4 linked regions of the Drosophila melanogaster genome follow. The protein of the gene in region 3 interacts with the protein of the main gene of each other region in a pairwise test. Each region holds a gene or a part of one and is shown on either strand. Other genes may lie near its edges.

Region 1 (9,649 bases), on a different chromosome or scaffold from region 3:
TCCTCCCTCCAATCGTCCCGTTGCTCATCAGAGTTGAGTTTCTGTGCCTGTTCGTCTGCCTTTTGATTTTTTATTATTATTTGCGCGATTTTGCACGCGGCGTGTGTATGCAAATAAACGAAAAACTGCAGGAAACAAAACACGGAAGTTGCCCAGGAAGGAAGGCAGGAAGGAAGGAAGCCAGGCAGCGCCACAGCCAAACGTAGTCTGCAAAATGGGAACTTCGGGGGATTGTGGTTCGCGCGTGGGTCCTCCTCCAGAAGAAAAAAAAAAAGAAACATAAAAAATACCCTCCTGGGTTCCATGGCATAGGGGTCTCCGATTTCGCATTCCGGCCTTTTTGGGCTCTTTGGGCTCACTGTCTGTCAGCCAGCAACACGGCACGAAGGCTGGCTGGCAAAAGGCAAATTTAAATTGAAATTTTCCACAGTTGATGTTCTGAAATAACAAACGTGAGCAGCCAGCGAGCACACCTTTGAAAATGGAAGAGGCGGAGGCACACGGGTCGTATGTGTAATGTGGCAGTCTTTTAGCGTCAGCAAGTTAAGCTACTCTGGTAGAGCAAATCATGAAGGTGGAATATATATATAGCAGATCTAAACCCTTCAAAGAAATTGCTGTGTGAGGCTAAGCAATTTGGAGATTACAAAAATATAATGTTAATTATAAACAAAATTTAGGATTAAGTGCCTAATGGTATCAATTCATTTGCTCGAGCCAACTATAGTATAATAAGTATAATTTGCAGAATTTAAAAACAGGCTGTCTTATTATTTCAAATTGTTTCGTGCAAGACCTAACAAGACCTTTTCACATTATTCACTTGCAGCTATGGCAGCAACAACAGCCTGCAGCCGGCACCTGGTCAGGTGGTCAGTGTGGTGCCGAAGAACGACAAGCATGCGATCCTGCAGAGCATCGCCAGCAGCTATCGGCGTGCCGCAGATGCCAGCGATGCAAACGCCTCCAAACCGACACCATCCGCGATTGGTGGTGGCAAGGCCGGTGGTGCGGTGGGCGGTGGTGCTGCCACCCGCAGGCGGAGCTCCGCGCAGCGTCGTCGTGATTGCCGCGTGAGCCACTGGTCCGAGTGGACGGCCTGCAGCAAAAGTTGCGGCGTCGGCGAGATGCATCGCTACCGCAAGGTCATAAAGCACGGCAAGAGGGGCGGACGACAGTGCCCGGCGCTCCAGCAGTCCAAGTGGTGCGGCACCGAGCGCAACTGTCACGGGTCGCAGACCTATTTTAATTGGTAAGTGTGCCGCGCCGCGGAAAACTCAATCAAATTAGTGTTACACTGCAAACAATTTCAATTCATTAATATTAATTAAATTGGAATTTAATTCAATTTCGCATTTCACATCAAATTTATATACACAATCGAAAAGGGGAAGTCCTTTGTTTTTATATAGATAACACAAAAAATCCATAATAGATTGATATTTTTATATTTTTTTGTTCTTTGACTCACCCCACAAGTATATACAATTAAAATATATATATGTCCGATTCGATTTCAGGTCCGATTCCGACACATGAACGATCCACTTGGCGGAGGCACAGGCGATATAAATATAATTTTAATTTAAGGCGTAAGAATTGCTTTTTCTGTGTGAACAAGAAAGACCAGCCAGGCCGTTAGGAGTGTGGTTCATCCCGCAAGGAGATTTTAATTTAACTTTACATTATCAAATGACATTGTTTTTAACGCAGACGGCAGAGACTTCAATTAAAAATGGATTAAATTAGAGGCGACGATGGGGAAGACTACTGACAATATTAAAAAACACAAGAAAGATTTAGACACAGGACACAGAGGATTGGAGTCATTCGTCCTGCGGATGTCGATTCAAACATTCTTATGTTTATGTGTTCACATTGATTTATATTTTTTTTTTCGTTGCTTTAGCTCTAAATAATATGTAAAAAAATCATCATAAAATATAAAAAATGAAGAAAAAAAAAACAAAACATTGAACAGTAGACGTACAAAGTTTAGAAAGCAAATCAAAGTAAACAAGAAGCGTGAAAATTTGCATACCCAAACAAGGAAAAATGGAAACAAAACCAAATGAAAAACCAAACACAGCACACTTGAACCTATAAGCGTGGAGCCAAAGTGTGTTGTTCAGCAACTAAGCTAATATTAGATGTAAACTAAGCTAACTAATAACTTAAAATGGATTGCAATAAAAGTCAACCCCAAAAAGAACTCACTTGAATTGAAATTATATTGAAAATAAATCTGTAATAAGGAGGAAGTAATAGTTAATGACATCGGTCAATTAACAATTACATGGATATACAAACATTTACTCAGAATTTGGAACGAGGACCAGTAAAAAAAAGTCATAAAAATGCCTAAGCTATTAGTTGTAAGACAATCCCAAGTTCCAAGCAGGAGAACCAATAAATATTGCAATTCCAATAGTCCAATTCCTCATTGGGCCATCCTGTTGCGACATTTAATAAGCAAGGGCAGCAGAAGCTTCAGAAATCCGGACACTATGAGACATAATCCCGCAAAGCAAAAGGCAGCAGAATAGTTTCCCGTGATGCCTATCAATTTACCAGCAATTGTAGTCCCAATAAAGGCGCCCATTCCCATGGCCAATGAGGTAATCCCAAAAGCGTTGGTCAGTTTTGAAAGTCCCAGGTATTTCACGTATATCAAACCTCTCAGTGTGGAATAAACAGCTATTCCATGGAAATGAGAGAGGGTAATATTGTAAACTTAAGTAAGGTAAGTAAATGTACGCACCAGGCGCTACAGCATAGGAGAAGCCATACAGAAACTGGAACCAAATCAAGTTCTCTCCATAGAAGGCGCTAATCAAAACGGAAACACCACCGAAAATTAGACCACAACCACAAAGTCCGAGGGTCCAACTACGCCTTTTGTAAGCGAGGATGCCAAGGATGTTTCTCATCACAAGATTACTAATTCCGATAATGGGGCCGATCATACGGGCATATTCGACGGGGATCGTGGTTCGTGCAGACGAGTAAACAAAGGGTATATTAAAGCCCATCGGGAACAGAAAGGCGGACGCCACCAGAATCTTGAACTCAAACTGTTTCAGCAGGCGGTAGTCGAATAGTTTGAGCACAGTGAGCATAAACCGGCTATTCCTACAGGAATTTTGCTTTTTCTGATTCTCGTTTGACCATCTTCGTTCCCTATGAACTCTAGAAATCCTATCGGGTTCATCATCCACACGAATGTTCTTGATGCCATAGTTCACTTGCTGGGTCTAAGTGAAAGTTGGTGGTGTTCTTAAGTTGAAGCGAATTTATTCTTAATACAACACTTACGTTCTTATCCGATCCCATTAGTAGGAACTCCTTGCCGTCGACGTTCTCCTTGCTGTGCGGCTTTTCGTATTCGGCAGGACCCGTATAGAAGAGATCCTCCCGCTCCAGGGGCGCCGGGCGGATGAGCAGATTCTGCTCATCAGCATTTTGCGACTTCTTCCGCCGCCTCCAACAACAGTTCGAACAGGAGGGGCAGAACTTGGCGCATCCTTTCTTTTTTGGGCGTGGCTCATATGTACTTAGGATACTCCGGCTTTTAGCAGTCATCGCGGATTGACGTAAATAGTCATGCACGTAGAAGTTGCCGTAATACTCATCCGAACTGGTATCCGAAGAACCGGGTAAATGGTACATGCCCACCTGGGTGGGAGCCACCTCCACATAGGCGACCACCATCAACAGGATCAACATTATCAGCCCCGCCTGCGTCCGCAGCATGTTCCTCCATCCGATGATTGGCACCAGCCAGCTGTTGAGGAACGTGAAGAGTACTATGCCCGCACCGCCACCGCTGCAGGAAAATCCATTGGCCATCGGACGGTACCGCTCAAAGTAGTAGCCAACAATCAGCTGCGAACTTGCCCAGATCATGCTCAACGTAATACCACCTGCGCAGGCTAGTACTATTATTCATCGAATATCGTACAGCAATCTAGAATCAACCTACCAAGGACGCTGTAAAAGAAGATCAGCATGGTCAAGCTGACGCTCCAACTGGACGCCAGTATTGAAACTGCGGAACACAGGACCCCAGCGATGGCTACCTTTCGGAAACCAAAACGATTTATCAGGACAGCAGAAAACGCTCCGCTAGTGAAGTAGCAACCAATCTGGACACTGGCCACAAACGATACCGACGATATGGAGACATCCAGATCCTGGGCAATGGATGGCAATAAGACCCCAATGGTAAAAATTAAACCATCGATTATCAGCTGGGCGAGGAAGGACAGCACCATGATTACCCAACCGAATCCGCCGTCCGGTGGTATCACCATATAGATCTGTGGATGACAAGAGTCGTCATTCGTTTCTCAATTCACCACCACAAGAATGCTATTCACTCACTTACAAAAACCATACCGGAGCCAAGTCGTCTTCCACCACGGCTAAAGTCAAAGGACTCCTTCGAATTTTTACTTTCCATGTCGAACGATTGCTTGCGCGTTCGATTTCCGTCGTATTCGCTGAAAGATTCCGGCGATGCGGTATCGGCCAACTGTACTGTAGTTACATTGAACGAGAGACCCGATTCCTGTTGATCGGTTTCCTTAGGGACCACATATGAATCCTCGGAATCGTATTTGGGAATCAAGGGGGATCCTGTAAGAAGGCTACAGTTTTAGCTACAAGAAATGCATTTGGTAGGTTCCTCAATTTCAAGCAAATGGCCAAAAATAGCTTAGACAAAATTCAATTGCATGACAATAAAATAAAAATAAAAAAAAAAACATTTTTGTAAAAAGGAAGGCAGCGCTATGATAACTTACTCTTTTTATAAAACTTTTGCGTTTTGGTAATGAGTGGTTCTGCCCTATCATATTCATCCGTATAGCTAGTAAAGCTCAACATCTGAGACACCTCATCTGTGCTCTCGATATATTCATTCTCATTATCCCTGTGTGTGGACAATTCCTTGCTAAATCCACGGGTCCTAGAGTATTTTTTCTCAAAGGCCGGTTCCACAAACGGCACCTCAGATATTGGCTCAATTGGCCTAGATGGTGGAATTGCTGGCTGGTTTTTCGAAATCTCAGGCTCATTTGATGCCCCCACAAGCATATGGGGAAATCTTCTGATAGGCAGCTTGGGAAGAAAAGTTGGATTAAAGCTTTCGTAGAACGAAGGCAAATCCACTTCACTCCCGTGAGACTGACTAAGGGACAAGAATGATGTGCGCCCATTCAGGATATCCGTTGAAACTGTGCCGACGGCCACACTGACCATTTGTGGTCGCGTGTTTCGCGTATCATTGTAATAGATGGATGAGTTTTGAACCGAGATGTCCAGCCTGGACAGAGATTGGGATCTCAAGCTACTTCCACTTGGCTGTGCAGCGGCGGTCTTATCTTCATATTGGCTGCTGGGGAAGCTGAAAAACAGAGGGATTTGGTCGAGTTGAGTGCTTTGCTGGGCGAACAGACTCAGTCACCTTCGCCTACGATTCCTGCTCATTTTTCGACTCTGTCGCAGAGTGTTCCTGACATCTTTCACAAATCTCTCTGCGTCTCGACCCGAACCCAATGCACAGTGGCTGGCTACGTGTCTGGCTGCAAGATGAGAAGCCCCAGCAACAGGAACGGGAATTCATGGGGATTCGTGGGATTCGGGAACTGTCGCCAGACATTAGCTGCTCCTGGCTACCAAATGCTGTCATGGCTGCCAGGCGAGCGTGACAAACGGAGTTGGTTGGTAGTTGCTTGTTGGTGACCCCCAGTTGCTCCTCCTCCGCAATTGCCCCACTGCAACTGTTACTTTTTAGCCATCGCCTCGCCATCGCCATCTTCTTTTGCCTGGCGAATCCCTATTGCCACAACCCGATCCCAGCTCCGTTCCACCCGCTTGCCTGTTTATTTTGGGGCCGAAACAAAATTGCATCAGTGCAATTTCATTGATTGTAAGTAAATGAAATCATTCCTTAGTCGTCTGAGTTTTGCACGGAGAGCGGAGCGATTGGAGTGGAGCGGCTAAAGTGCATCTCAGCTTTAGGGGCAGTAACTTCATTGGCAGTCACTCAAAGGCAACAAGAGCTGAAGTATTGGGGTCGACTGTTTCCCCAGTTGATTAAATGGAAAGTGATGCCCGGGCTCTTGAATTGGAGGCAGTCGGTCCATGCTTTATGAAACAAACCTCGCCCCTGGAAACTTTAACTAAGCCAGCCCTGCTTTTGCAAAATGAATTACAAACAAAGTGCACTAATTAATTAGCGTAAAGGCCAGCAAACTTTTCGACCAGCCACTTCAGCTTCATCTACACCTTCCCCCCCCCCTGGATTTTTCCTGTTCTCCCGCGGGGGAGCACCGATTGCAGCGGCTATTTTTCCTGGCCAACAACTCTATGCGGAAATTGTTTTTTTCCAAAAGGTTCGCTCGTACGTGCTCGTTTTTTATGGCCCACGTTGTGTTTTCCTATTTTTCGATTTTTTTTCCCCTGAGCGCCTTGAAATCGAAACGGCCAAAAGATTGCGCTGCCAAATTGTTAACAGCAATTGACCCAATTTTATGGGAGCCCTCATGCATGGCCACTCTCGGACGGCAGTGACTCCAATGAAAATAGCGGCGTAAAAGCGAAAACTGCCCCGAGAACAGCAAGCAGCGAGCGGCGACCAACGCGGCGTATACTTATTCTAGTGGACTTCTGTTGTTTTTTTTTTCGCAGGGGGTCAGCTTTGTATGTATATTTTTCGTTCTGTTTTATTTTTTTTTTTTTTTGTTGGGCTTTGTCGTTTGGCTGGCTGCACTCTGTTTGCATTTAACTTGCAAACAAGCTGGGGCAAAAATTCGTAAAGTGAAGGTTGCGTTGCCTATTTTTTCTTTATTGTTATTTGCCTGCAAATCAAGGCAGCTGGACATTGCAAATTCGCTGGCATCGAATCCATTCGCAATTAACTGCAGAACAAACAAGGAAAACCCATTTGGTCCGTGGCCCGGAAAAGGCTCAATTCGCGACAGTATTCGAGGAATTACACACTTAAATCTGGAATCCATAGAGAAGTAGCTGTTGAAATGTAAATAAAATAGATCCCATCATGGCGGCCTTGGACTAGATTTCTTGCCAACTATTGGTTCAGCACCTTGGTGTTAGCCAGATCAAAGCAGAGCGTTCGCCTGTACAGACCAAAATTTCGTGTCTCTCAACCTGCCACAGCACCGGTTCCAATCCAAAACCTCCGTTTAGTTATGTTTCTGGCCAAAAGTTCATCAATACTTCGCCCGCAGCTTCTTAATGAGGTGAAGGGACTAGTGAAGTCACAATTTCTGGCTCTGTCACAGGTCGACCGACGCTTTGCCCACTCGGACGATAGGTGCGCCAATAAGAAATCCAGGAAGTGCGAGCAGAGCCCACCCAAGGGTGTAGGTTTGCCCCCCCGGGATCGAAGACATTCTCATACGGATGGCGTCAGTGATAAGTGCGCGAAGAACAAAAAAGATAAGCGGGAGTGCAAGAAGTTTGAGTCCGAGAATGCCAAAAAGCCGGAATGCAAACCGCCCGTTGTCCGTGCTCCAAAATACTACAAGCAGCTAAAACCGTGCAAGACCGACAAGGAGCTCTCCGAGCTGCATCCCAAGTATCTGGGTGTATGGGGTCGTTGCGACATACCCTACAAGCCAGAGCCCGATTGCACCGATCCCTGTGATTTGGCCGTACGTTTGGATGACAAGTACTACAAGCCCAGCAAATCGCTGGACCGCGAATTCGACCAGTACTGGGTGGAGTGCTTCTTCCGGAAGCAGAAACGCTGCTGCCGCAAGGTTGCTCCTGAGCGCACTTACCGCGTGTTAACCAAAAAGTGCGTTTCCGCTCCGAAGAAGGCGCCTTGCTTCACCGTCAATCCCATGCCATGCAAACAAGAGGCCAAAACCAGCCCCTGTCCCAAGATCAAGCTATGCGAGTGTCCGCCGGCAGCTGCCATTAACAATTGTAAACTGGTGCGAAGACACACAAGATGCCGGCGTCGCGCATGCCAGTATCCCAGCTTCTCGGAGTGCCAGCACGAGGAGCTGAACACCAGCAGACCCATCGAGTGCCGCTGCCTGGAGGTGCCGCCGCTTTGCCTTGTCTATCGACACGCTCTCCTCAACCGCCGACTTCCCTGTGAGCCTCTGAAGCCGCGCAATGAATCGTGTTAAAGGAGGCACACTTTGGATTTGTGGACCCATTCATGGTGCTTCAACAATAGGCAGATAAAAATTAACAGTGTAATAAAAGATACGAAATTTTTGGTTAAATAAATCTTTCAAAATATTTACATTTAATGCATTTAGTCTATGGGGGGGTTTTGGTCTCTGTTGTATACGCCGTTAGGTGGGACTATCAAATAGAGGTGCTTTACTTAGATCGAGTCTTCTCCTATTGGCAGTGCCAGTAACAGGTATCTGATAGTTGAGGCACTCGACACATATTTTATTTTTAATTATTTACATATGCTTAGATCTAATCATAAATTTTGAATCAAGTAGGCCTTAAGACAAAACTTCAACTGTCCTAGCCAATTTCAGATTACTTTCGAATCATTCGTAAACAGTTGTTCGAGTGGTCAACACACATAACACCTTAGCCTCCCCAAAAATCCAGGTTTCCGTTTTGGTTTCCTTTCAAAATTCCAGTTAAATTCAGTTAGAATGGGGGTGTTGCAGACAGTGCAACGAACGCTGTTGATGCAGCACAGCTTGGGATCGCTGACGATCAAGCGCACATACGACACGGTGAAGAAGATGAATCTGCGTCGCAGGCGTTTGGAGCATCTGAAAGAACTCAAGAGGCTAGACGAAATGTGCTACAAGGCGGCCAGTCGCAACGATAAGAAGTGCCACCCGCCGGTGCTACCGCTACCCAAGATGGAGTGCATAGACGACCCATGTGCGGAATCAGAGATGCCATTGGATCTGGACCACTATACTCCGAGCGACAAGGCCGCGCGCAAATATCAACGCACCTGGTGCGAGTGCTATATGATACCCAAGGCGGCTGTCAAGGCCAGGAAATGCTATCCGAATAGACCGCGGCGTAAGTTCGAGTGTCCGAGGGTCTCTGATGTCGAGTGCCGCTGGGATCCCATGCCCTGTGATGACGTGAAGAAAAAGCCCGAGATACTGATTGAAGTGCCGCGTATCGGGAAGTGGCCATGCTGCAAGATCCCCACGCCAGGTTGCCGCGATGGCCGGATACCGCCCTCCTGCGACGCTGGTCGAATTCCCACTTGCTGCAAGAAGCGTCGCACCAAGTATCCCAGCTTCTCGGAGTGCAAAAAGGAACTGCTCGACCCCATCCCACCATGCGAGTGCGAGAAGAAGGTTAACATGTGCGACGTGTATGCATATTTCCGCCATAAGACACACTAACTTCGGTCCCTGAAAGAGCTTGGAAATCAAGGCGGTATAAGAAGCCCACCTGGATGATGAAGAAGTCACAAAATTGGCTAGCGTGTATTGCTGTTCATTGTTTATGGGTTCATTTACAAAAGTTTGACCCTTTAGCCCTTGCCGCCTTTTACCAATCCTGATTACCCATTTTAAAAGGTGACAAATTCAAAAATTTCCATTTCAAATATAGCTTGAATCCAGTCTTAAATTACTTTTGGATGTTGTTGCTACCGACATTAAATTGATTTCAC
Region 2 (7,808 bases), on a different chromosome or scaffold from region 3:
TTTTATATTAAGCAACTTATTTTTTAGCATTTTTTTTATTGTGGGGAAAAAGTCTTTTAAAAGTCTGTCAGGTATATAATAATTCTCTGAATAGGATTATTTACGCTAAACATTTGATTAGATTATCACTTTTGAGCACCTTCTGCTGAAGCGGATTGGATTGGCAGTTCCACATGTATAGGACTTTGAAAGGCCATTGGTTGGAGTTGTACAAACTGAAATGGTATGGAGAATGGCATACCGCGATAGGCATTAGCCGATTCCTGTGGACTTAGGTCTACGTTGGAGCTATTGACAAAGTCTGGAGCAGAGTTGGCGGTCTCCAAATCCTTTCCCGTGATATTGAAAGGAGTAGGGGGACCGACGAGTTTCAGGGAAACCCCATCCCGTCCAGGAGAAGTCGATTCAATGCTAGTTTTGGGTACGTATTCCTGGTTATACTGCGAATCAAAACTACTTTTTGTTACGTAATCGTGCTTAAATTGAGGATCAATACTACTTTTCGTCACGTAATCGTGCTTAAATTGAGGATCAATACTACTTTTCGTCACGTAATCGTGCTTAAATTGAGGATCAATACTACTTTTCGTCACGTACTCGTTTTTAAACTGCTGATCGAGATTAGTTTTCGTTGCGTAATCGTGCTTTAACTGTGTGGGCACGGAGCTTTGATAGTCCTCCATCCTCGGAGGATGATCCAATTCCCTAGATTTGTATATCCTGTTGTAGTAGTTTGAGGATGGTAGGCTGGATGGTTCGTGTTCTCTGGGCGGTGGATGATCCATTTCCATGTTAAATTTGAACTCCTCGCCGCGTGGATAACTTTCGTAGAGTGATGATGACTCGAACTTATATGGCTCGCTGGAACGAATGTAAACGGGAACCTTTCGTTCTACCTCAACCTTATAGGGCACTGGTACCTTCTTCTCGAGATGAACTGGCACCTTTATTTCGACCGGATACGGAACAGTCCGGAGCACTGGATACGGTTTCGGTACGTGGACTATTTTCTCAATTATCTTTTCGACCACATATGGTTTGGGCACTTGGACTGGCTTTGGGATGTGAATCACCTTTTCCACTATCTTTTCGATAGGCACGTGCACTATTTTCTCAACTGTAACATTCACCAGCTTGGGCACATGTACGATCTTCTCGACAATTTTCTCAATGGGCACATGGACGACCTTTTCCACGGGATACGGTTGTGGTACTGTTTTGATCAGCTCCTTTATGTGGTTGTGATGATGGTGGTGATGATGATGCTTGATTTTCACCTTCATCCGCTTCGCATCCTTCTTACTCGAGTGCTCGACATGTTCGTGCAGAATCGCTTGTGTTCCGACCTGTTCGGATGCCTGGTATTGACCATCGTCCTCATCGATATGCTCGTGGATCTCTTCGAATGTATGATAATGCCTACTTTCCGTACTCTCATCCGCATAATTGGGACTCACATTTTTTCTTCGAGCACCAGATGGCTTATATTTCAGTTTATTCCTCGTCATTTTATCGCCTTGCTTTTGATAGTTTTTCACACCGCGTTTCAAAGTCACATTGCGTTCGGTTTCCCGATTATAATGTTGCAGATCCAGCTTTTCCGATCTTCTTCCGGTATTGTGAGTAGATCCTTTTCCGTATTCAGGATAGCTCCACTCGGCACTTTCGACACTATTGGTTTTATTCACAGCATAGGAATTACTGTGTGCAGTACTTCCAATAATTATTAAGGTTATGAATAGGTATCCAGGAATCAAAGTTAACTGAAATAGAAAGGATGCGCGTAAATGAAGTATGTACATACAAAATATCTCCTATCAAAAAGACAAATTGGAAATATAGCTTACCATTGGGTTCATTTTTTGTTAAGTATATAGTCTCGCTTGGATTTGAAGTGGTTTAATCAACGCCTTCAACAGAAATGATTTGAGCCAATCGAAGAAAGTATTTATATGAGCACGAAACATAATTAAAATGTGCAGAAGCAAATTTCTTCGCTTGAAGTTTGTACACTCTATATTTTTCTTAAATTAAGAAATTATACAAAAACATCAAGAACTAATTTGTTTTGGTTTGATTATTTAAAATGTATGCATGTTTTTATTCATTTTTAATTAGATATACAAATGTGTAGCTTTGAAATGCCGTCAGAAATAAACGACCTTTTTAAAAGAGAATAAAACTGCACAAGTTTACTTATATTTTTTTTTACGATTGAAAGCCCACGGTCGCGTGACGCAAGTTGTGTGTGTGTTTGAAGAAGTGTACAAGTGCAATATCTTTATAAATGTTTGAAATTTCTCTAGGTGAATATTTCACAGAAGCCCGTAAATGTAATAATTAAAGTGCATTGAGCTCCGCTTTACGGAAATGCTATGGATTGTGTAATTTCCTGCAGTATCCGTTGCTGTTTTCAAGACTACCAAAACTACGTTTTCCGGATACCCATTTTGGAATGCAGAGAACAGGGTTAATTAACACATAACATTGGAGCTCCTCTCGAAAGGCAAATAAAAAGTTTATTATACAAATTTAAGTTGGATATATCGGGAGCTTGAATAAACAATGGTCAGCTTAATCTAATTCGATTCTATTCTCTAAGAATAGGCTGCTCGTGTGCATCTTTGATTCCTTAATTTTTAAGTGCGAGCCCAGCAAATCGTCCATGGTGATGCGGACGTTGTTGCGATCAAGCGCTGTAGCTGACGGATCTCTGGACGTGATGAGCTGCCTCATTCGGTAAACTGAAGCATTCCGGCACATTTCCCGCAGGTCTGAGCCCGAGAAGCCATTTGTGAGCTTGGACAAGCGATTCAAGTCGACATCCTGACTTACTTCCTCCGATTGGAGGATCAGCTTCAGGATGTCTTTTCGTTGGGTCTCCGAGGGCAGACCAATGTGGAATTGGGCTGGCATGCGGCGCACAATGGCCTTGTCTAAATCCTGCGGCCTGTTCGTGGCACCCATCACAATCACCGTCGAGTTGGCGTTCGTGCTGAGGCCATCCCACAGCATCATAAACTGGGTCTTCATCATGGCGGTAGCCTCGTGGTCGTTCATGTTTCGAGATCGCAAAAATGAGTCTATTTCGTCAATAAAAATAATGCATGGCTCGATTCGCGATGCAAGCGAGAAGACAGCAGAAGTCAATTTCTGGGATTCCCCGTACCACTTGTCGGTAAGAATGGCGACGTCCAAGTTGATAAAGCGCATTCCCGCCTCTTTTGCCGTCGCCTTCGCTATCAGCGTCTTTCCACAGCCCGGTGGTCCATGGAGCAGGACGCCTTTGGGCGCCTGCCACAGCTTCGAATGCTTGAAGAGATCCTTGTGCTGGATTGGCAGCACCACCGATTCCCGGAGCTCCTGAATGACTGAATCCAGACCGGCGATATCGGCCCAACTGACTGTTATGTCGGCGGGAACAACAAGATGTGACGCAATCATAAGCTCGTAGTCGCTAAACTCTTGCCCTCTTAGCTTGAAGCCCTCCTGCTCGGCTAGCCTGCATGGAAAAGGTTTACACATGTACAATATATGCTATATGAGTCTAATATAAACCTCTTAAGCTGCTCCTCAGCCAGAACTTTGGCCTTTTTCTTGTTTTTACTGGTCGGATCCATCTGGTTCATCATCCATTTCACCGAATAATATGTGATCAGCGAGGCCACAGACAGGCGAACCAGTACCTGGAATATCTGCCCCTTGCTTAGATCCGATCCGCCCAGTCCGAAGTTGTCCATGTTTCTGCAGATATTCTATTTAGAGCAAATACGTTGGCCTGCACGAATCTAATCTTTCTTGTTCTTATTCCCCATGCACACCGACGACAGTGTGACCAGGTGCTCCGACTGAAATTGACATCGATAAGCTCAAAATTGCTGCCAACTGAATTCAATTTTTGTTAGCCTATTCCTTTTCCACTGTTCCGAAAATATTTTTTCAGCTTAAAATAAAAAGATTTTTTTTTTTTTTAATTTTGAGTATTAACATATTGGGCATATATTAAGTGAGAGCATTGTGAAGCATGAAGATTAAAACCCACAAATTCAAGTGACAATTTTGCTCTTAGGGTGTATAGTGCCTGGGGTCAATACTCCAAATCTTCAACTTGGCGTCGATCCACGGACGAAGCTTGGCCACGCTGGCGTACACTCCGGGAATGTTCACCTCGCCGCATCCGATGCCCCAGGCAACAATGCCGGCGGACTTGAAGCGGTTCTTCTGGCCAGCAATTGGACACACCAGTGGGGAGCCACCATCACCCTTGCAGGTGTCCTTGTCCTTCTCACCGCCGGCGCAAATGAAGCTGTCGTGCAGAATGAAATGCCTGCCGAGTCGAGTTTCGCGCAGATTCGTCTCGCACTGCTGCTCGGGCACCACGGGCATGTCGACCTTCTTCAGGATAACCTGATATTCCCCATCCTTGCCGAACTTGTTCTTGCCCCAGCCGGTGGCATAGCAGCGATCGAAATCGAATTTATCACCCACATTGGGCAGGCAAACGGTCTGAATGTTCTCCTGGAGGGTGAATGGACTTTCCAACAGCATGACAGCCACATCGTTATAGAGCGATCCCTTGTTGAACTGCTCATGGTAGATTATTTCCTTGACATATCGGTCTTCGTGCCTTCTGATCTCAGTCTGCGTTTGCGTATCCCATTCGCCAGCTCTCACTAAATGCCAGTTCATAATTAGATCTCATAGATGGCATAGATGGCATGTACACTTACCAACAATGCTACTGGGCTGTTTGTTGTGAACGCAATGCGCCGCGGTCAGAACCACATTGGGAGCTATCAATGCTCCTCCACATTCGTACAGGTTAAGGTTGCCTTCTTCCCGGAGAATGGCCAGCATCCAGGGGAATTCGCCGAATTCGGCCTCCTGGTTGACAGCTCCAGTGATCTTAAAGCCAACGCCGTTGGGATTTTGGTAACCGCAGCCCTCGGGATGATCAGGCTTAAACTCGAAAATCGGATCTTTTCTCTTAACAAATAAAATTATAGTTTAATTTAAGTAATCAAAGCTTATTGGTATTTATGTATGTGTTACCTTGTTGGGCAGATCACAGCAAAGATCCAAATAGTTCTTGCATTCGGCGTCCGTACCAAGTCGAATGTCAATGATACCATCGCCACTGGTGTTAATCGTATCATTGGCGCACAACCAGCGAGGAACACACTCCTTTTGATCGCCACAGGACTGGTACTGCGTTGAACTCGATCCTCCGTTTTCGGATCCCGTGCTACCGGACGAATCCTTGGGGTTCACCACTGGCGGGGGAGGGGATGATGGTTTGGGTGTTTCGTCCGTTTTAAAGATGTCCGATATCAATTTGTCCAAGGAAGAGTCCTGGGCACCACAGGAAAATATGCACAGGCATATTACTAGGCAATTTAGTAATATCATATTCCTGGAAAGCAAAATTAAATCATGCTCTTTACATATTTACATAATTAAGGTCAGAAAGCTCACTTATTCGAGGAAAGAGATGAAGATGAAGGTAAGCAAAGTGAGTAAAGCTCGAGTATTGGTAATATAATAATGATTGTTATTGCTGGAATATCGCACTTAAACCGGATAAAAGGTGAATGTGATTCCCCCAAAACAGAGTGACACATTTTAATGGAAGGGAGACGCGGATACGAATACGTTTATGTTTATGCGGCGAACAATTAACCTAATTAACTCTAGAATGTATTGTCTTATCAGTGAGGCTTTGCTTTCTTTTTTGAATACTAAAATTCCGAGCAAATATATACATATGTACGTATTGTTTCTTTTAGATCGCCTCATTATCAATCCTGATTGCTTTTTTGTTTAAATATGACTTTTGGCGATAAGAAATGCTAATGTATTGCGGTGGGTCAATTTTCGCTGTCAATAAAAACAAAGCATGTATAATTACTTTAAAACACAAAAATAGTTTCTTATGTGTAAGCGCAATCCCTCCATTTTTCGCAAGAGTTAATAATAAGTTATAACACACTAATTAATTGCCATTTACACACAAAGGTTCACCATTTTTGCTAACAATATGTTCCTTGCAAATAAAATAGGGCAAAAACTGGTTTTAGTTTCGAGTAAACTTAGCATTATACAATTCTTCTTCATTAACATATATAAATGTATTCCCATTGCCGCTGATTTGTGCTCATAAAAGTACGTGAGGCGGTGATATTTTGTACACTTTATTCATTGAACTTTAAGATCTTTTTGATTGATTAAAATATGTATATACACATGTACATACATATATGGATGAAAAATGTATTGTAGATGTTACAAGACATAGAAACCACCAAAAAGATTAAACTCTATCAGATATCCACATAACTGAACTACACATTTTCAATAAATTGAATTTGAGTCCAATTTTATTTAGTATAAAGTGTACTCTATTAGTAAGACTTACTTAATTTATCAAAGTAGCGCAACGTTCGCTGAGCAATGAAGAAAACACTCAACTGAATTGATTTCTTATTCAATCTTAAGTCTCAGCCGATGATCTTCTGACGAGAAGCTTTGAAAGCTGGTTCCAATTGAAGTTCCCAGCTTACGTATTACACAGCGGAAAACCAGTTCAAAGTTTTATTTTATTTTATAAATTTATAGATAATAAACATACACAAATTATGTACGTATATTTGTTATTAAAAACCGTTTTAATGGTTTAGCGTGTTTGTAAAATGCGATTTCAAATATTTATTTATTTTTATTCTCGAGCCAAGGAACAACTGGAATTGAAGCCCGATAACGATAGCTGTGCGACAAAATCGAAAGCATCAGTGTGTCCGTGAGTTTCGCCTCTAGACCTGTGTGTGTGACATTTGATGCGCCTACACATACATATGATGAACAGGAATTCTTTTTAGTTCATCAAATGAATACAAAGTAAAGTAAATTGAAAGGAAGCGCCGATCGCAGTTGTTCAGTATTCAGAGAAACATGGAGCCGTTTACCCATAATGATGGCAATCGCGACGAACTAATAATTCAGCAGAAACGGGATATTGAAAAAGAGGTGAGTCTGCAGAAACACTTACACACAATAGCGACAATGAACCGAGAAATAATGCCGAATTTCAATAATTGCAGATCAGCGACACAACTCCCTTGGTCAGCGAGCAGTTGCCACTCACCTGCTTGTATGCGGAATACAGTGGCGACGAGATCTTCACCGCCAAGATCCAGGATCTGTCCAAAAAGTACAAGTTCATTCGCCGCACCCGCCCCGATGGCAATTGTTTCTTCCGAGCCTTCGCCTACTCCTACTTGGAGTACTTGATCTCAAACACCAGTGCCTACCAGGAGTTCAAAAAACTGGCCGAGGAGTCCAAGGAGAAGCTCGTTCAGCTGGGATTTCCTAGTTTTACATTGGAGGACTTTCACGAAACGGTATGTTTAGCCGTACAAATGCAAAACGAATTCCCTATGCTTATGCAGCCTTTTGTATGTCCAGTTCATGGAAGTCATCCAGCGCGTTAGCCCCGACAATGCAGGAGGACACAGCACGGTCCAAGATGAGTTGCACAAGATCTTCAATGAGCAGGGTTACTCAGACTACGTGGTGGTTTACCTACGTTTGATCACCTCGGGAAAACTGCAGGAGGAGGCCGATTTTTACCAAAATTTCATCGAAGGCGACCTCACCATTGAGGCGTTCCGCCATCTGGAAGTGGAGCCGATGTACAAGGAATCGGATCACATCCACATAATCGCTCTATGCACCGCCCTCGGCGCTGGAGTTCGTGTCGAGTACTTGGACCGTGGCGAAGGTGGGACTGTGAAGGCCCACGATTTCCCCGA
Region 3 (7,103 bases):
AGCTTTCTTTGTGCCGTTGCCTCGTTTGAATATGAATCTTTGAGGCCTGACCCCGTTGAACTTCTCCTGCGGCACATTCTTATGGAAATTAAGTTTGCGTTTCTTTTATTTTAGAAATTTTTCGCAGCAGTTTCCGCAGCCTGTTGCCAAGCGGATTTTACTGTGACTTCTTGAATGTCTTGAATAAAATAAGTTTGCATAAAATTGACCCAAGTGCTTGTGGATTTCATTTTTTTGGGGGGAGAAAATCGATTTCAAATTAGCGGATTTATGAAATATATTTAAGACCGTTTAGCGAATTTATATACAACATACATATATGCTAATTTTTGGATGACCCAATTTGGCCCAACAGTTAGTAAGAGTTAAAAATTGAAGACCACAAAAACAAAAATTAATTTATGCGTTCCCACAAACTTTGAAACCAATTTCCAGATCTAGATTAAAAAAAAAAAAACAGTTACTAAACTCTGTACTCTTCGAACTTGGAAAGTTAAAAGTCTTTTTTAGGCATTACAAAATGATCTAACATTTTGGAAATTATATTTCACTATGAATATTTATGAAATGAGATAATATCGGTATATATTAAAGGCACAGTTCCTAAATTGCTGGAGGGAATAAACTATTCTATTTTCTAAAAATACTTCTTTGATCTTTTTAAATTTTTGCCGATGAATTTCAACCTGTTGAAAATTAATAAAAAGCGAAATGAATAGAAATTTAAGAATATAGAATTGACTTTGGTAAATATATTCCAGTTTCCAGTGGGCAGCTATAAAAAATGGTTAAAGGACCGAGGCAAATATTGCATTTGAACACTCATATTATTATCCAAACTATTTGCAAATAATAATTAGTTTAAATTAGTCAGAATGGCCATGACTGCAATATCACTTTTATATCTAAAAGCTGTGAGGTAAAAAAAAAAAAACTCAAATCTGGAAATGAGTCAAGGGGAGAACGCAACCACTGCAAAATTGGTTTTCTATGAGTTCGCATGGCCACTTTTGGTAGCCGTTTTCGAGGTGAACCTCTACAGGATCATTCTGGAGCTTTTGGCCCACATCCTGCTGATCGTAATAACCGTGGTGATGGTCAAAAAGACCTCGGGTTTGGATGACCACAGCAGCGGCCAGCATGCCCTATACGCCATTTTGGGACTGTTTCTATGCGTGGGTGAATCTCTGTTGGTATGCCACTCCTGGTGGTTAGGAGACTTCATCTCCGAAAACCGGCTCAACCTTCTGCACATGGTATTGGGAATGGTGGGACTTTGGCTGGGACTGGTGGGGATATTCGCGAAGAGTATCTTCAAGAGCAAGATACATGAGCCGCACTTTAATTCCAAACATGGATTGTGTGGCCTTTTGGGATTCCTGCTTATCGCTGGGGCCGTGGCCAGTGGTTTCGCCCTGGTGTGCTTCACCCACCTGGCTCTGCACGTCATCCACCGATTGATGGGCTTGTGTGGCTTTGTGCTCCTCTCGTGCAGTCAGTGGTTCGCCCTCAATTTGGGATTCGCACGACGGGAGTGGAGTAGTTGGAAAATTAAAAGGCTCAGGATCTCCACGCTGGCCGCCACCATTTCAGTGGTTAGCTACGAGTTCCTCTGCCTCTGTAGAGACATTGTCCATTTGCTACCCAACAGCTGGTTCAAAGCCATCGGATTGAAAATTGATCACCTTCACAATTAAATTTTATGACCAAGCATTGTGAATAATTAAATTGAAGTGCTGAAGGCAATTGCAAAATGTTTATATTTTCTAAGCCCTACCATATAAAAAAGTAAATCACACAAAAATTACATTTATAGGAATTCTATTCAGCATGACAGCAAATATTTGGAAGATCAAGTGAAGTTTGTTAATCAATTTCGAAAGAAACATTAGCATACTTTCTGACTTTCAACTGAGAAATCCCTTGGAAAACAAAAACACTTTAATATCTATGCTTGCTATTTGGTCATATTGCAGTATGCCTAAGATTTTAAACAAGTTTCAACATTGTTTAATTAAGAAATAATAAATTCCGTGTCAAAAATTGTAGATTTATTGCACGACTAAAGAAAACAGTAAAATTACAGAGGGCTCGCATGTGAAATATTGGCCAACCTTCAGTCTTTCACCTGTACAATTGGCCATTTCCACGCATAAGAAGCCTCTTGGCTGGCATATTAATCACGGGACAAAGGCATAATTCCATCCCAACGTGGCTCGATCAATCAGCGATGCTGGAATACACATTTGCCCCCTATACCATACACCCCTTTCATCGATATTCACATTGGTCATTGGGTATATGACCGGTGGCCGGGGATGGGATACGACCACTTCGCATGCGTCGCTGACTCCGAGAGCAGGTCCATCATAGGTTCGGATCGGCCCTTGACTTCTCGGGTTTCTCGGTCTCTTGGGATGCCGAGATTTGTGCGTGTCTCTGATTGTTTTGTCATTAGCATGACCGCGGCGCTTTTTTTTTTTTTTGGGCCTTTGGTGTTTTTGGTGATCTTCGACTTTTTGATTCGGCGGCTGCTGATTTATTCAGCGCTCTTTCTTTTGTCCCACCGGCGGGTCACTGACATTCGTTTCTAATTCTATTTTTCACCATTTTCTACATTTCTTCCACAAAATTTCGCCACTTGAAATTATGCCGACATCGACCGCAATTATGACCAATGTTCTTGTGGCCTGAGTGGGCTCTCTCTTCTCGGTTTCTATGGGTTCTAGATTATGGATTCTGGATTTTTGGCCAGAACTTTTTCGCATAAAAACCTAATGCCGCCGCCACAGATCGTACAGTTCTGTTTGGGCCTTGCTTACAATTAGGATCCGGTCGGCAGTAAATCTTTAATTTCTGTGCACTTTACGTCGAGAAATCTTCAAAAAAAAAAAAAAAAAACAAGATGTCCAAGCTGGGTGCTATCTTGTTGGTGGGCTTGTGCCTGTTTGTGGCCGTGGCCTTGGCCGAGCCACGCCTTCAGCACGTTCAGGGGCGCAATCAGGTGCAGGGTCAAAGGGCGCAGCAGCATCCCTACCTCTTCCTGTCAATTCCCAAGGGTCGGGCCAACGCCGGCGCCGTCGTCCAGGGCTTCGAAATTGTCGAGGAGGAAGATGATGATCTACATGATGAGGACCAGCACGATGACGAGACGGAGGATGACGAGGAACTGGAGCATCAGCTGGGCCTGAACTTTGCCCGCAGCGGTCTGGCTTACAGGCAGAACCACGCTGATGACGAACAGGACGATGATCAGGATCAGGAGCAGGATCACGTTCAGGATGAGCTGCCCAAGAAGCAGATGATGGTTAACCGGGATCAGGCTGGTGCCATTATGGTGCCCGATGGCATTATCGAGATCGAGGGTCAGAGTGTTCTGGACGAGAAGACCGGCAAGGCGGCTCTCCTAGTGCCTCGTGCCGCCCTAGACGCCATTCCCGATGGCGCGGTGGTGGCTCTTATGGAGCGATCCGCCTCATCCGTTGATGAAATCGAGGAAGAGCGCGCCAACCGCGTGGTAGTTCGTCGCCGCAAGAACAACGGACGCAGGAACATTCGCCGCCGCGGCATCAACAACAACAATATCCGACGCCGCCGCCCCGCCCAAAGGCGTCGCCGAGTGGGTGGCAACCGCAGGCGCAATGTACGCGTCATTCGCCCCCAAGGCGGCAACCGTAGGCGTGGCAACCAGAGGCGCCGCGGACAGGTCGTATTCCAGGGTTGAGACACGAAACGAAGGTCGTCCTAGCCCCATTTCTATATAGTATTATAGTTAAGATCCCCTAACGATCAGGACAAGAAATTTGAGACACTTGATGACGATGCGACAAATAAAATGTGATATGAAAATTATAAATATTTTTTTTCGTATTTTTTATGGGTGGTGAAATTATGATGTGAAATTAACCAACATGCAAAGACTATGGTTTTGAATCATTAAGTTGAAACTTATTTTAAAGGTTTTGCCGTAAAACATCGTATACTACTTGTATAACTTTATTATTTATTTATCATATATGGTGTACCATTTCCTAGCAGTGTATAAGATACATAAGATTGCTTTGCCTCAAAATAGATCACTGCTTAGCTCCATTGATAGAAAAATTTGCATTTATCATGGAGTTTATTTGTATCATGGTTCAGCTTTATTCCAGTTTATCCTTTAACTTCGACACAACCTTAGTTATAAGTCACTTAATGCCCATAGGCTATCAAAAGTATGATATATGAATTAATAACTGCAAATTTTGTATGATAAAGGATCCGAAAATCAGATGGTACACACATATATACAAACAATGGTAGAGAAACTCATTTGAGAACATCTCTATAGAACTGTAAAAGTTTCGTAGTAAACTATTTTTGCTAATCGTTTGGCCAACAAAATAGGTACTACCGAAAAATAACCGTTTAGAGATAAAATTCATTTGATTGTCGTATATTGGAACCAAAGATACTTTTGGTCTTATCCAAATATATATATTAATCAAATGAAAGTTTTAAAAAGTCACGAAATAATTACACAATAACAGTATGTACAATACAAATGTTATATGGAAAATTAAAATATATATTTATTGAAATAATTTGATGTCGCATTCTGATTATATTTTGTCATTGTTTTTGGGAGAGCAAACATACAAAAATAGATAAGCACATATTTTGGAATCGTTGTCAAGAAAAGATTTGCCTCCGAACTATGCAATAAATCGCGAACCCTTTGTAAATTATAAATTTTGAGATTTCATTAAGTTTTGATTTTTTCGAAACGAATTTGGAGACTTCAGTTGAGTACTCCATTCTTTGGTGTGGAAATGCCGAGCACTGAGTGAGCTGAAGCAAGCAGAGAACTGACATCCCAGAACATCTGTGTAAGCCAGATTCCGTGGGTCAATCTCGGCTTGACGTCAATCAATCATCGGCTACTCGGCGATGGATAGAAGAATGGTTTTGGCAAAAGAGATGGGAAATTAGCATAAAATTCGTACGCCTCTGACCCGCGACCCGGTTCACTTTGACCCCGGGCGAACTTTTGCTAATAGAGCTGGCCAAGAAGTGGGAACTGAAAGGAAATGGGGATGCGGGGCGGATGATAGCCATCGATCAGCTGTATGAGCTCCAAGTGGGTATAAAATCCCGGGTCAGTCCATCAGTTGTCAGTCAGTTGTGAGTGAAAACTCAAAGACAACAAGTGAGTTAGGAACCCTCGATCCACAGTCAAGGAAGCCGATTATCCCGATAAGGAGAATCCATCTGCAGAATGCATTGCCTGCTTCAACTGAGTCTGGCTGTGGCCCTTTGCGCCCTCTTAGCCCCATCCACTACCTTGGGTGAGTCCTCAAATATTAACAGAAAGTCGTCAGTCAAGTCACAACTACTTTCTTTATATGTTCCTTAAATATTTCGTATAATTTTAAAATATTTTATCTCAGCCGAACGCCGCAATGTGTACCGCCTGGGTGGACGCGCCTCCGACGCTCAGATGGAGGCCCGCTTCACCTCGTCGATTGCCAACAAGCTGACATCTCTGAAGGGCACCACCACGACGACCACGGTTGCCCCCACTACCACCACCACGCCCACCTCCACTACGGAGACGACCACGCCGACTGCACCAACAACGTCCACTGGCACCTCGACGAGCACCACGACGCCCACAACCTCCGACACCACCACCGGTCGTGCCTTCCCCGCAATTCAAGACGATGTTGAGGAAGATGATGAGGAGATGCCCAGGGCGTTTGAAGATGAAGAAGACGAAGGTGATGACAGCCTGGAGGACGAAGATGATGACGACGATGAGGAGAGCTACTTTGTGGCCGCTCCTTCCGCCGGTGGCAATAGCAATGCCGTGCAGCAGTCCTCAGAGTCCGGCTCGTTGGTCCGCCCCTCGGAACTCCAGTGGCGCCAGTTCCAGCAGGAACAGCGCAACCGTCGCCGAATCCAGCGCCTCCAGCGTGAGCACAACCAGCGGATCAGGTCCCTGCTTCGCCGCCAGAGGGCCGCCGAGAAGCGAAGCCAGCAACGCTTGCGCCGCCAGCGCCAACAGAGCCGTAAGCGCGTCTCACAGCGCCAGCGCCGCAACAGGAACCGTTCCAAGGCCCAGCGCCAGCGCCAGAGGAGGAACAACATGAACCGTCGTCGCCGCCAGCAGCAGCAACGCCAGCGCAGACACCGCCAGCAGCAGCGCCGCCGGCTCGTGCGCCTCATGCGCCGTCGTCGTCGTGGCGGACGTCGCAACTAAGGAGTTGATCCCAGATCCCCAACCGATCCCAGAACCCCCGAAATAAACTGAACTTGTATGCAAAAAAAAAGCAAATTTTTTTTTTTCATTATTACGAAAACAAATAGCGAAGGGTAAACTACAATGTTAGATCATTGCAGCATTAAGATCTAAACCAGTAAGAAATGGAATTCTGTATGTAATCTATACCTATAGATCAGTCTTGATTTATGGAAAGACTTTATGACAAACAATTGGACAAAACAATGGATGAAACCATGGTCATCATATGAGATAACTAAGATTCTAAATATCCCCATGATTTTATACACCAACTTAGATTAGATGCAAGAAATTTGTATTGGGTCACATTGGTCTAAATGGACATTCTGTGCTATTGGAAAAACTGCAGCTTAGGATACCAAAGATGCTACATTTATCTAAGAACCAAGCCTTAGTCTCGTAAGATCTGCGACTCTGTCGTTGCCCAACGTGTGAATGTCTTTCTCCGCGGAATTCTCGGGGGGTCACTGCCTATGCGGTTCATTGACACCTCACCTCCACTTTCGCCCTTCGGTGGAAGAGAAGCTGTCCAAAGACAGAGTATCTAAAATCAGAAACGAATATGAATATGCAAATGGTGTCGATTCGCGAGCTATATGCAAATGATTAGCGGCGATCGATCGGATGGCTGAGGTTACGGGTCAGATCGCGATTATTTATGGCATTATGCAAAACGGTTACAACGCCAATAGGCTGGCTTTTTCTTTGCCCTTTCTTCGTAGGCCCAAAAACAAACTAGCTCTGTCTCCTTTGCTCGGCTTACACATCTCTTTTTTTTTTTTTTTTTTGATTTTTGCATATGTTCCTTCTCTTTAAC
Region 4 (8,614 bases), on a different chromosome or scaffold from region 3:
TCGTTTTATATTATCATTTGTCTTGCTTATTTCTATCTGATAGGCGATTAGCTCCCTTATTATTTTTTTCTGTTCTCGTTAAATTTACCAGCTATATATAAAACCTAATCAAAAATATGGGGTTAAAGGGAGAAATGAAGAAAATCGTAACTATAAGTTAGCTGCCTTATAAGCGGTTGGCTGGAGCCAGAAACAGTGCTATCGGCATTAATTAATTGGGGGTTAAAGTCCTTCCATATTGTGATATTGTGCGGAGATAGATTGCGATATCTGTTTCGTTTTGCGAATTTTATAAGTATTTTCTTAGATACCTTAGATACCTGGGTTTTGTTGTTTTGTTTTCTGTTTGTTTTGTATATCGTAATATTGTATTTGCGAAGGTGTTATTATCTTCCGTCCTCGTTGTTAAAAAATAAATATTAATTTATTTAAATGACGAAATTTCGAAAATCGCGGCGATGCTTTTTGAATTGTGTGAGTGCTCGTCTTGAAAATATCGAGTCAGGCCACACAAGACACTTGGGATTCCGATCTCCTCGCAAGCAAATAAAGGCGGCGGCCCTCGATCACTGGCTTGGATCGCCAGAAGCGTGGTCGGATATATTGAAACGAAAGCGCAAGTGAATCGCGCGGACCGCTCCCACCTGACGACCTCAGGTCGGCTGGCCGATTAATGTGTGTGCACTTGTAATTTGTTTGGCTGCTCGGGAAGGTCAGACCCCACGGAAAACCGACCGAGCTGCTGAAACACACGATGAAAGTTTCCATCGCAGGGCCGCACTGCATTAATGGCATTTAAATACATCGATGTGTAATTATGCACATGCATAGTTCCCAAAGCATAGGTTACGGGTGTCAGGAATGGAGGTTTTGTTTATTGTTTTATTGCGACTCTGCCTCGGGCATTCTAAATTGAGGAGAAGCCGCTGAGATCGAGGGGTCGACTTACATAACACTGGCGTGGTAAGTTTTCCAAAAATACGTAAAACCCGACAAAAACAATGAAAGAAAAAACAAAAAACAAAAAACGCACAAAGAAAGGCTGGGGAAAATGAGAGAGAGACAACAGCAAGCGACAGAGAAAAACTGTCCGAATCTTTGGGTAAATGAAATTAATGTGCGAAATGTATACGAGTAGGTCCCGTCAATGTCGAAAAAAGAAACGGGAAAGAAAGCCGGCTTCGACTAGCCGAAGTTTGTGTACCCTTGCAGACGGTCAATGGGTATCTATCGGTAATATTGTAATATTAATGATGTTATTTGCTGGAAAGGTGAGTACATGGTACTTATAGCTTTTTACTTCTTTTTAAATAACATATATAGTTACATTTACCAAAAGATATCAAAGTGCTCTTTTATTTCGAAAATTCGTATGCATTGCATCTCTTCTACAATATTTTGTTTAACCATGCAGGATAAAGGCGATTTACCATTTTGAGGTAAATTCTTAGAGCACCATTACTCGTAAAGTATAGCCTAGTAGATTCGTTGGGAAGTATGTATGTAACACTTCTATCGATATGCCAAAATAATATTAAAGATTCTCGCTTAAACATCTACTAGCTGACTAACAGGCAAGGAACTCGACCATACAGTTCTCATTTGGTATTTAAATATAATTCATAAGATATCATTATTAGGCAAAGGCTGTATAAACTAATAACTGTAAAAATAATACTTTTAAAATTAAATACTGGCTGCATTGCCAGACATCACAGTCGCTAGTCAACTTTTCCCTTTGGAATTATAATCCTTATATTGGCGTATTATGATCATTATATATTTCAAGATATAGGTTATATCGACCGCTATATCAAATCTTTTGTTACTTAAGGGCTCTGGAGCCTAAGTATGCCAAAAGCATTTAATAAACTTTTATCATAGACTTGCCTCCTAACCGAACGATAGCTGGATTCGCATTACCATCATGAATTGGATCTGTCCATCTCACCGCCGATAACGGCACATTTGTCTTTATAGCACCGCAACAGGTGGTGAGGCTAGTTCTCTTGACTCTGACGATGCTGTCACTGTCCATCGAATGATTATGCCCACGATGTGTTAACCCCGAATGGTACGAAGATCGTGGCCAAGCATCTCAGTCTCAGACGAGAGTCTCAGGGGCCAGAGAACCCGTACGATGTCATTGTTCTTTTCTTTCTCCATAGGACAAACCGGTTAAAAAACTTTCCTCATAATAGCAGAGCCCAAAAGTGCTTATTAAGCATGCGCTGCCAAAACACATATTAGCGAGCACCTATGTACATATAAACCAGAGGACTAATACATGCGATCTCTATAACCAAGATCTCATGGACTTTGGCCGAATTTTTATGTTGGCCCGAATAATTTCAGATTGCTTGTGGGTGTGACTGATACAGCCAGCCGATTGTATAGCTCCTCTCTTCTGAGAAAATCGAAGCCCGGCAATGAGACACAATCTTGAGATTTGCCGTGTAAACGCGAATGAATATTTGGATTTGATGTGTTTTCTGAGCAATCTAAGCAGATAATGTGTTTACTGAGTCTAAGCCAGTCGCGCCAGCCAAATAACTATACGCGAGGGCCAAGGTGCAAAGCGATCAATTAGCACTTTAGCACTGCATTGTTGCAATCTATTTGCGAAAGCCCTTGACTCTACGTAGCTCCAGGTTCGCTTTTCTGACCACCGGCCAGCGGTAATTGATGCCGCACCACATTCTCCAGGTGATACATACATATGCATACATACATACATACATACACACATACACACATACATAAATTTCTGATCGAAGTATTTAGCGCACTCGTTGGCTGACCCTAAAAACCTGAAAAAATGCGAATGCAACTACATTTCTCGACGTTTCCGCATTCGGCGGACAGGTGAAACTTTTTGATTGACTGACATAGGCGGCACACCACTGCACTCCTTACCCAACAAAGGTACACAGTAGACAATGAAGACAGCGAAATGCGTTCGGCTATTTAATACTATTTAAAGTCAGTTCTCAGGATAAGGAATTAGCTGCTATACCTAAGCTGCTGCTAAAATACTTCTCATACGGAAGAAGTTGTACCACTAAAAAGAAGAAATATTCTATGTATTCGAAGTAGCATAGAAGTACCTACTGCTAATACCCGCATTCCTCAAATAATGAATTTTTTTATCTCGATTGGGAAACAATGGTCAACAATATAATTTCCATTGTTATCAACAAAATTTACTTAATATAAAATTGTATTGAATAAGTGATTCATGAATTACAGTTGTAGACCGAAAGGGTCAATTGTTTTTTACACTTCATAGAACCAGATTAATCCAATAAACAATATTTAATTCATTAAAGTACGAATAGGTTACCAGAGAATCTATGAAAACAAGTCTGGGCAATCCTTTGGAATAATAATTCATCCCTCTCACGAAGGGCACCCACGCCCCTGTGCGCTCTCTCTTAGCCACCGACACGTGTGAGCTCTTTTGCTCTTTTAGTTGGCTGTTGCTTCACGGCGACTCTCTTCGGCATCGCCTACTGACGCTGCCGCTGCGAATGGGCGTGGCGGGAAGCAGAGCAAGAAACAGTGGACTACCGCCACTTTTTTAATTAAACCATGAACAAACAGGCAATGGCGGTGATGACTAATATCACCGAATCGCAAGGCGAGGGTGGGGAGCAGCTGGAAAATGCTTTCGCGGCTGTGGCGATACTCACCTGCGAGGTATGGTGTGGAAGGGGGGGGGGGGGGTCGAGCGGCGATTGGAATGGAAGAGGAATCCCGAGTGCACACACACAAATGCACTTGTGCACGGCCACAAATACACACTCGCGAAGGAGAACGAACGCAAGTGTAAAGGGCCCGCGCTTTTGGGAATTGAACAATCGACTAGTTTCAGCTTGGGCTGGCTGCCGATGCTTTTGATACTGAAACTTCGATACCGCGGGCTGCGATGCCGATGGCTATGGCGATGGCTACAAACAACAGCAACGCCAACAAAAGACACACACAAACACCGCGTTGGATCTCACCGCACATAAAATATATCCGACAACATATCGTAACGGACTTCACCATGCAGAAAATGCGATCTAGCCCAATAAAACTATATGCGCTTCCAAAAAAATATATTAATATCGAATTACTTCTTAGTCAACTAGCCATATCTTTCGGATTTCTTGGGAAACGACGACGCGAGTGAAATCGTTCAGCAACAAAGAGAGCGCGTTTTGCCAGTCGCTTAAATATATTTTTGTACAAAACGGTCTCGCAACTTCGAACATGTTAGATTGGGTTGGCAGCAACTAAGCAGAATGTTGGCACGAGTGTTGCCGTTTTAGCATTTTTAAAGCTCGACTTAGGTTATTTGAAGCCCGCAAGGACTGTGATAGGGATTACAGATTAAATAATATTGTGCGTAAAATCTTTGTGATTTGATAACCTGCATAGAAGGTACCAAGGAAACAGAAAAATAATATGGATCGTCGCGACTATACCCGTATACCCTCAGCCAAATGAAATGCAAAAGCATAAATTGACTGCGAGGGGAATACTTTTCACAGGCCGTTAATATTCTTTGAACTTGTAGTTAACTTTAAATAAAGGTTTCTGTGGCAGGATTGTAATTTTTGGCATGTTTAATTCTACACTAAATTAACTATTTGATTTATTTGATTTCTTTACCAAATAATTTGAGCTAGACATAATCTAGTTCTGGCTGTTCCGTTTCTAGATAATCTAGATCTGGCTATGGAAAATCTAAAAAGGCTGAACTGAGACGAGGCAAAATGATCTTTGTGGATTCCGTTCCGGAAAGAGTGACCGAATTTCGAGAATTCGGTACTTATCGATATTATCGGAACCCATTATTTAGCATTGTCATCATAAAAACGATATTTAGAGAATGTAGAATGTTAAATGTTTTTTAATATTTCTTGTAATCAAAACAAGATCGAGTTCCCCTACTTTAAAAGTCCTGTTACTCAAGTCGTATACTAAGTGCGAATGAGAAATTCCAACATTCTTTTAGCAGATCGAAGGAAATTTAAAAAACAAAATAAACTATTTAAAAAATTTTTCAAAAGCGTGGGAGTTTTGGGCGGTTTGTTGGTGTTATAAGGGACGAAAAACAGACAAAAGTCAGAGGGTTCCTCGACTTTGCGAGCGAGATGTTGCAAAATGGTATATCTATAGAAATTCGCATTACTGCGAGCGAGATGTTGCAAAATGGTATATCTATAGAAATTCGCATTACAATCAAATTACTTTGTAATTGTGACAGTGAAAGTCTCGTGAAGTCTTGCGTGTTAGCGTCGTAGTTTGGGGCGGCTTGTTGGCCTGTTCAAGAATATTATATTTTATAGAGTCGGAAATGCTTCTTTTTACCTTTATCGAATTTAGTAAAACCTTTTACGGCAAAAAAAATAATTCTCATAAAAGTGCGCTAAATAATAAAAAATGAATAAACAACAACGGAAGCTTGAAATTGAAATTAAAGATTGTTCAAAATTAAAAAAATGTAGTAAAAAATGTATACCAAATTAAACGACCAAATTTTACATTCGATTGTTCATATGGCTATTTCGACTCGGTTGTTCATACTGATCAAGAAAGTATAAAGTGAGCTTTATATGGTCGCAAATGCCTCATTCACTGCGATGCAAACACCTTACTGAAGTCAATGTATCCTTTTGGAAATAAAATAGTTTACATATAATTTAATAAAAATATTAAATATTGCTGAGACCGCCATATTCACATTAATTTTATAAAATCGAATTTTTTGGTTTAATTTGACTAAACAGCAGTAATTAATGCTCGGGCTTTGTAACAATCAACAAATACACTGCTTTGAAAGGAACGCCACTTTCTCATTTAAATCCACTTTAACAATATATTTCATATGGATCCGGAGAACTTAGAGGTGGGACAAAATTATGAAGGTTCCCAGGAATTCGATGAGAGCAGCACCAGCTCAATTAGCAACAAGGGCCCGGATGACAGTCAATTCAAGCGTGAGGCTGAGAAAGCTATTTGCATCATGCCGCCCCGACCGGGAACGACTATGATGAACTATCAGGAGCTATATATTCCGCGGAATCAGCTTACTGATGTATATTACCCCATTCAGGAGGCCCAACGATGGCTCACTCTGATGGACAAGATGGGCAAGGCACACCGTTTTCCGCTGCCCACGATCCTGCCGAAAGTGATCCAGACCCGCTACGTGCCAAAGCGGCATCTTCCAAAGGACGTCGAAGTGGATCGGAGGCGTCGTCAGTACCAGAAGATTAACTTGGTGAATGAGCTGGCCAAGGCGGGCCTCACTGACGACGTGCTGCAGCCCACCGAGGAGCAGTATAATGTAATGTCCGAGTTCGCCTTCCCACACAAGTTTCCCCTGAGCTACTTCGACGACAGCAACTTTGACATCAACTCTCCGGCGGCCTGGTTTGAGCTGGGAGTTGTCGGAGATGCGCACTACCCGCTTCCGGCGAAGGCGTACCTGCCTTACAACCAAAGCCTGCTGAACTGCCAGTGGGGCATGGCAGCTGTTACCGCGCACCACGAGGACTCCGACCTCTGGACGCTTCTATCGCTGGAGGACGGATGCACCTACACGGTACCCAAGCTTCAGTTCATGTTCATGGCTGAGGACCCGCACAAGTACATCAAGCGGCTGCAGGCCGCTGTTCACGAGCGGCACAAGGGGGAGCAGCTTATGTTGATGGAGCTGATCGTGGATTGTGTCCTGCACGAGGACATTGAGTCCACCGTGTTTTATAGCTTTAAGCCCATCGAATCGGTCCTGCAGGCGGCTAAGGTGTCTGAGCAGTGCAAAAGACGACTACGCTCCGAGGTGAACTTGGTGTTCGAGCGCCTAATGGCCCTATACGAGCTGGAGCAGTTTATCCTTAAGATGCCCAAGGAATTTCCCCAGTTTCGGAACATCAACCTCAAGGAATTTCTGCCCCGGTCTTTCGCCGTGGACGTCTCCGGGAAGGAGCGTCTTGAACTGCAGGCCCTTGGCATAACCATGCAGGAGAAGCGGTACGACTACCTGAAGGCCAGTCTGTTTTATTGCGTCGGTGGCATCGAGGCCATGGCCGGAGTGGCCATCGAGTGCCAGTACATCGAAACACTTTCGATCTTCATCTGCAGCTTTAGCAAGCCCCTGGCGCTAGTGGACTTCCTGCAAGCGCAGGAGGCGCATAGCGACAACGTGGCCACGTTTCTTAAAGTCTATTGGCCGCAACAGCTGACAACGGTCATCACCGTGGTCCTCCGAGCCCTGGGAAAGGGCTGGCTGGACATCTCCCTCAACACCTGGACGGTCTATCTCATGTGCAAGATCTCGCGGTTTATACTGCAGGTCAAGTTCCGTATGCAAGAGTCAATGGAGGTGCTGCTCGAGACGTCGCTGATGAACTTCTCGCATTTCGTTTGCGACCCCTGCCTGCAATTCCTTGAACTGAAGTCCAACTACAAGTGGACCAATAACTACATCGACACCGAGTTCCCCTTTCAAAAACCTGTATTCGCCATGACCCTTGGCATCAGCGAGGATCGCAAGGTGTTTTACTCCACTGACCCGGATGAGTTCCAGCCGGGGCTGGTCGAGATCTTTAAGAAGTGCCTGGAGAAATCGTCTGGAGTAAGATGCATTGATGGGTCTGTCATGAGTTTTTTGAAGTTCGCCCCTAACCTGTATATCCTGACGGTGGAGCTTATCGAGGATAGGTTCCTGAGGGAGAATGAGCTTCTGAAGAACTGCTACGCCAAGGCGGTGCTGCCTCTCAGGGCGTACGCCCGACTCTACGAGAGATTCATCGACTTTTACCTTCTCAATGTAAACACCTATATGCAGGCATATGCTCAAGCCCACAAGCCGTCCTCGGAGGTAAAGCGGGACATTCTGGAAAACAAGCGATTGAAGGAGGAACTGCGCGAAATCCTGCCTGCCTTTATTACTATTGGACCGTTTTACATAAACGTGGATACAATGAAGCAGTTCATGATAAAGAAGCGCATTGAAGTCGTGAGACGGATATTCGAGTACTATGTGGACCGAATGTATGAGACGAATGAGGTTTTGCTGGACCGTTGCCTGGAGATGTTCCGCAGAATCGCCGAGCGTCCGATTAGCATTGAACACCTGTACGAGATTCGCGACTTTGCGCAGACTGTTCCGGATTTAGTGGATGAGCTTAAGGCTGACATTCAGGTCATGTGGCTGGAGTACGACCTGCTGGATAGCTTCTTTTACAACCTGAGTGACCACCAGTTCGCCATGAAGTGGAACGTGTACGCATGGCCGCACCAGATAATGGTGCGATTATCGACATTGAAGGACGAGCAGAAGGTGGACATCGAGGACTTTCTCCGCCTGCACGCCAGCGAGTGCCAAGCGTTCGAGGAGCGTCTGGAGTCCCTCAACGACGAGGTGCAGGCCTACTCACTGGCGTTTAACACGAACCGCGCACAGGAGACGTCAGTGGACATTAAGAAGACGTGGGCTCTGATTAAGGAGCTCGAGAAGGTCAGCCAAACTCTGCAATTTCGGCAGGAGCTATTTGAGCTGGAGCCACTCTCTGTTGAGTTCCTGGAGAGCATAATCGCTAGCTTCACTCCCTACAAG

The links.
Region 1: the proteins of CG3598 (region 3) and Targ interact in a two-hybrid assay, tested with the Drosophila melanogaster proteins (one large-scale study listed by BioGRID).
Region 2: the proteins of CG3598 (region 3) and nmd interact in a two-hybrid assay, tested with the Drosophila melanogaster proteins (one large-scale study listed by BioGRID).
Region 4: the proteins of CG3598 (region 3) and CG31523 interact in a two-hybrid assay, tested with the Drosophila melanogaster proteins (one large-scale study listed by BioGRID).

Annotation. Positions count from the first base shown.
Region 1 is NT_033778.4:14,664,257-14,673,905, reverse strand, and holds Targ (tarag), read right to left. Parts: upstream 5,516-9,649; 5' UTR 5,491-5,515; coding exon 5,468-5,490; intron 5,459-5,467; exon of another isoform or gene 5,408-5,458; coding exon 4,806-5,407; intron 4,639-4,805; coding exon 4,388-4,638; coding exon of another isoform or gene 4,384-4,387; intron 4,320-4,383; coding exon 3,983-4,319; intron 3,933-3,982; coding exon 3,316-3,932; intron 3,255-3,315; coding exon 2,762-3,254; intron 2,698-2,761; coding exon 2,441-2,697; 3' UTR 2,231-2,440; downstream 1-2,230. Other genes in the region: mspo (M-spondin), read left to right, coding at 830-1,252, 1,521-1,539; CG12860 (uncharacterized protein), read left to right, coding at 7,215-8,165; CG12861 (uncharacterized protein), read left to right, coding at 8,658-9,377.
Region 2 is NT_033779.5:10,300,097-10,307,904, forward strand, and holds nmd (no mitochondrial derivative), read right to left. Parts: upstream 3,852-7,808; 5' UTR 3,741-3,851; coding exon 3,559-3,740; intron 3,503-3,558; coding exon 2,575-3,502; 3' UTR 2,077-2,574; downstream 1-2,076. Other genes in the region: CG13138 (uncharacterized protein), read right to left, coding at 126-1,763, 1,848-1,859; CG5390 (uncharacterized protein), read right to left, coding at 4,066-4,673, 4,731-4,986, 5,053-5,409; CG4968 (uncharacterized protein), read left to right, coding at 6,949-7,023, 7,098-7,397, 7,462-7,808.
Region 3 is NC_004354.4:2,934,223-2,941,325, forward strand, and holds CG3598 (uncharacterized protein), read left to right. Parts: upstream 1-2,804; 5' UTR 2,805-2,905; coding exon 2,906-3,724; 3' UTR 3,725-3,851; downstream 3,852-7,103. Other genes in the region: CG3592 (uncharacterized protein), read left to right, coding at 948-1,697; CG14420 (uncharacterized protein), read left to right, coding at 5,261-5,330, 5,433-6,244.
Region 4 is NT_033777.3:4,474,941-4,483,554, forward strand, and holds the start of CG31523 (uncharacterized protein), read right to left. Parts: upstream 4,268-8,614; 5' UTR 4,122-4,267; exon of another isoform or gene 3,693-4,121; intron 487-3,692; exon of another isoform or gene 312-486; intron 1-311. Other genes in the region: sac (sterile affecting ciliogenesis), read left to right, coding at 5,879-8,614.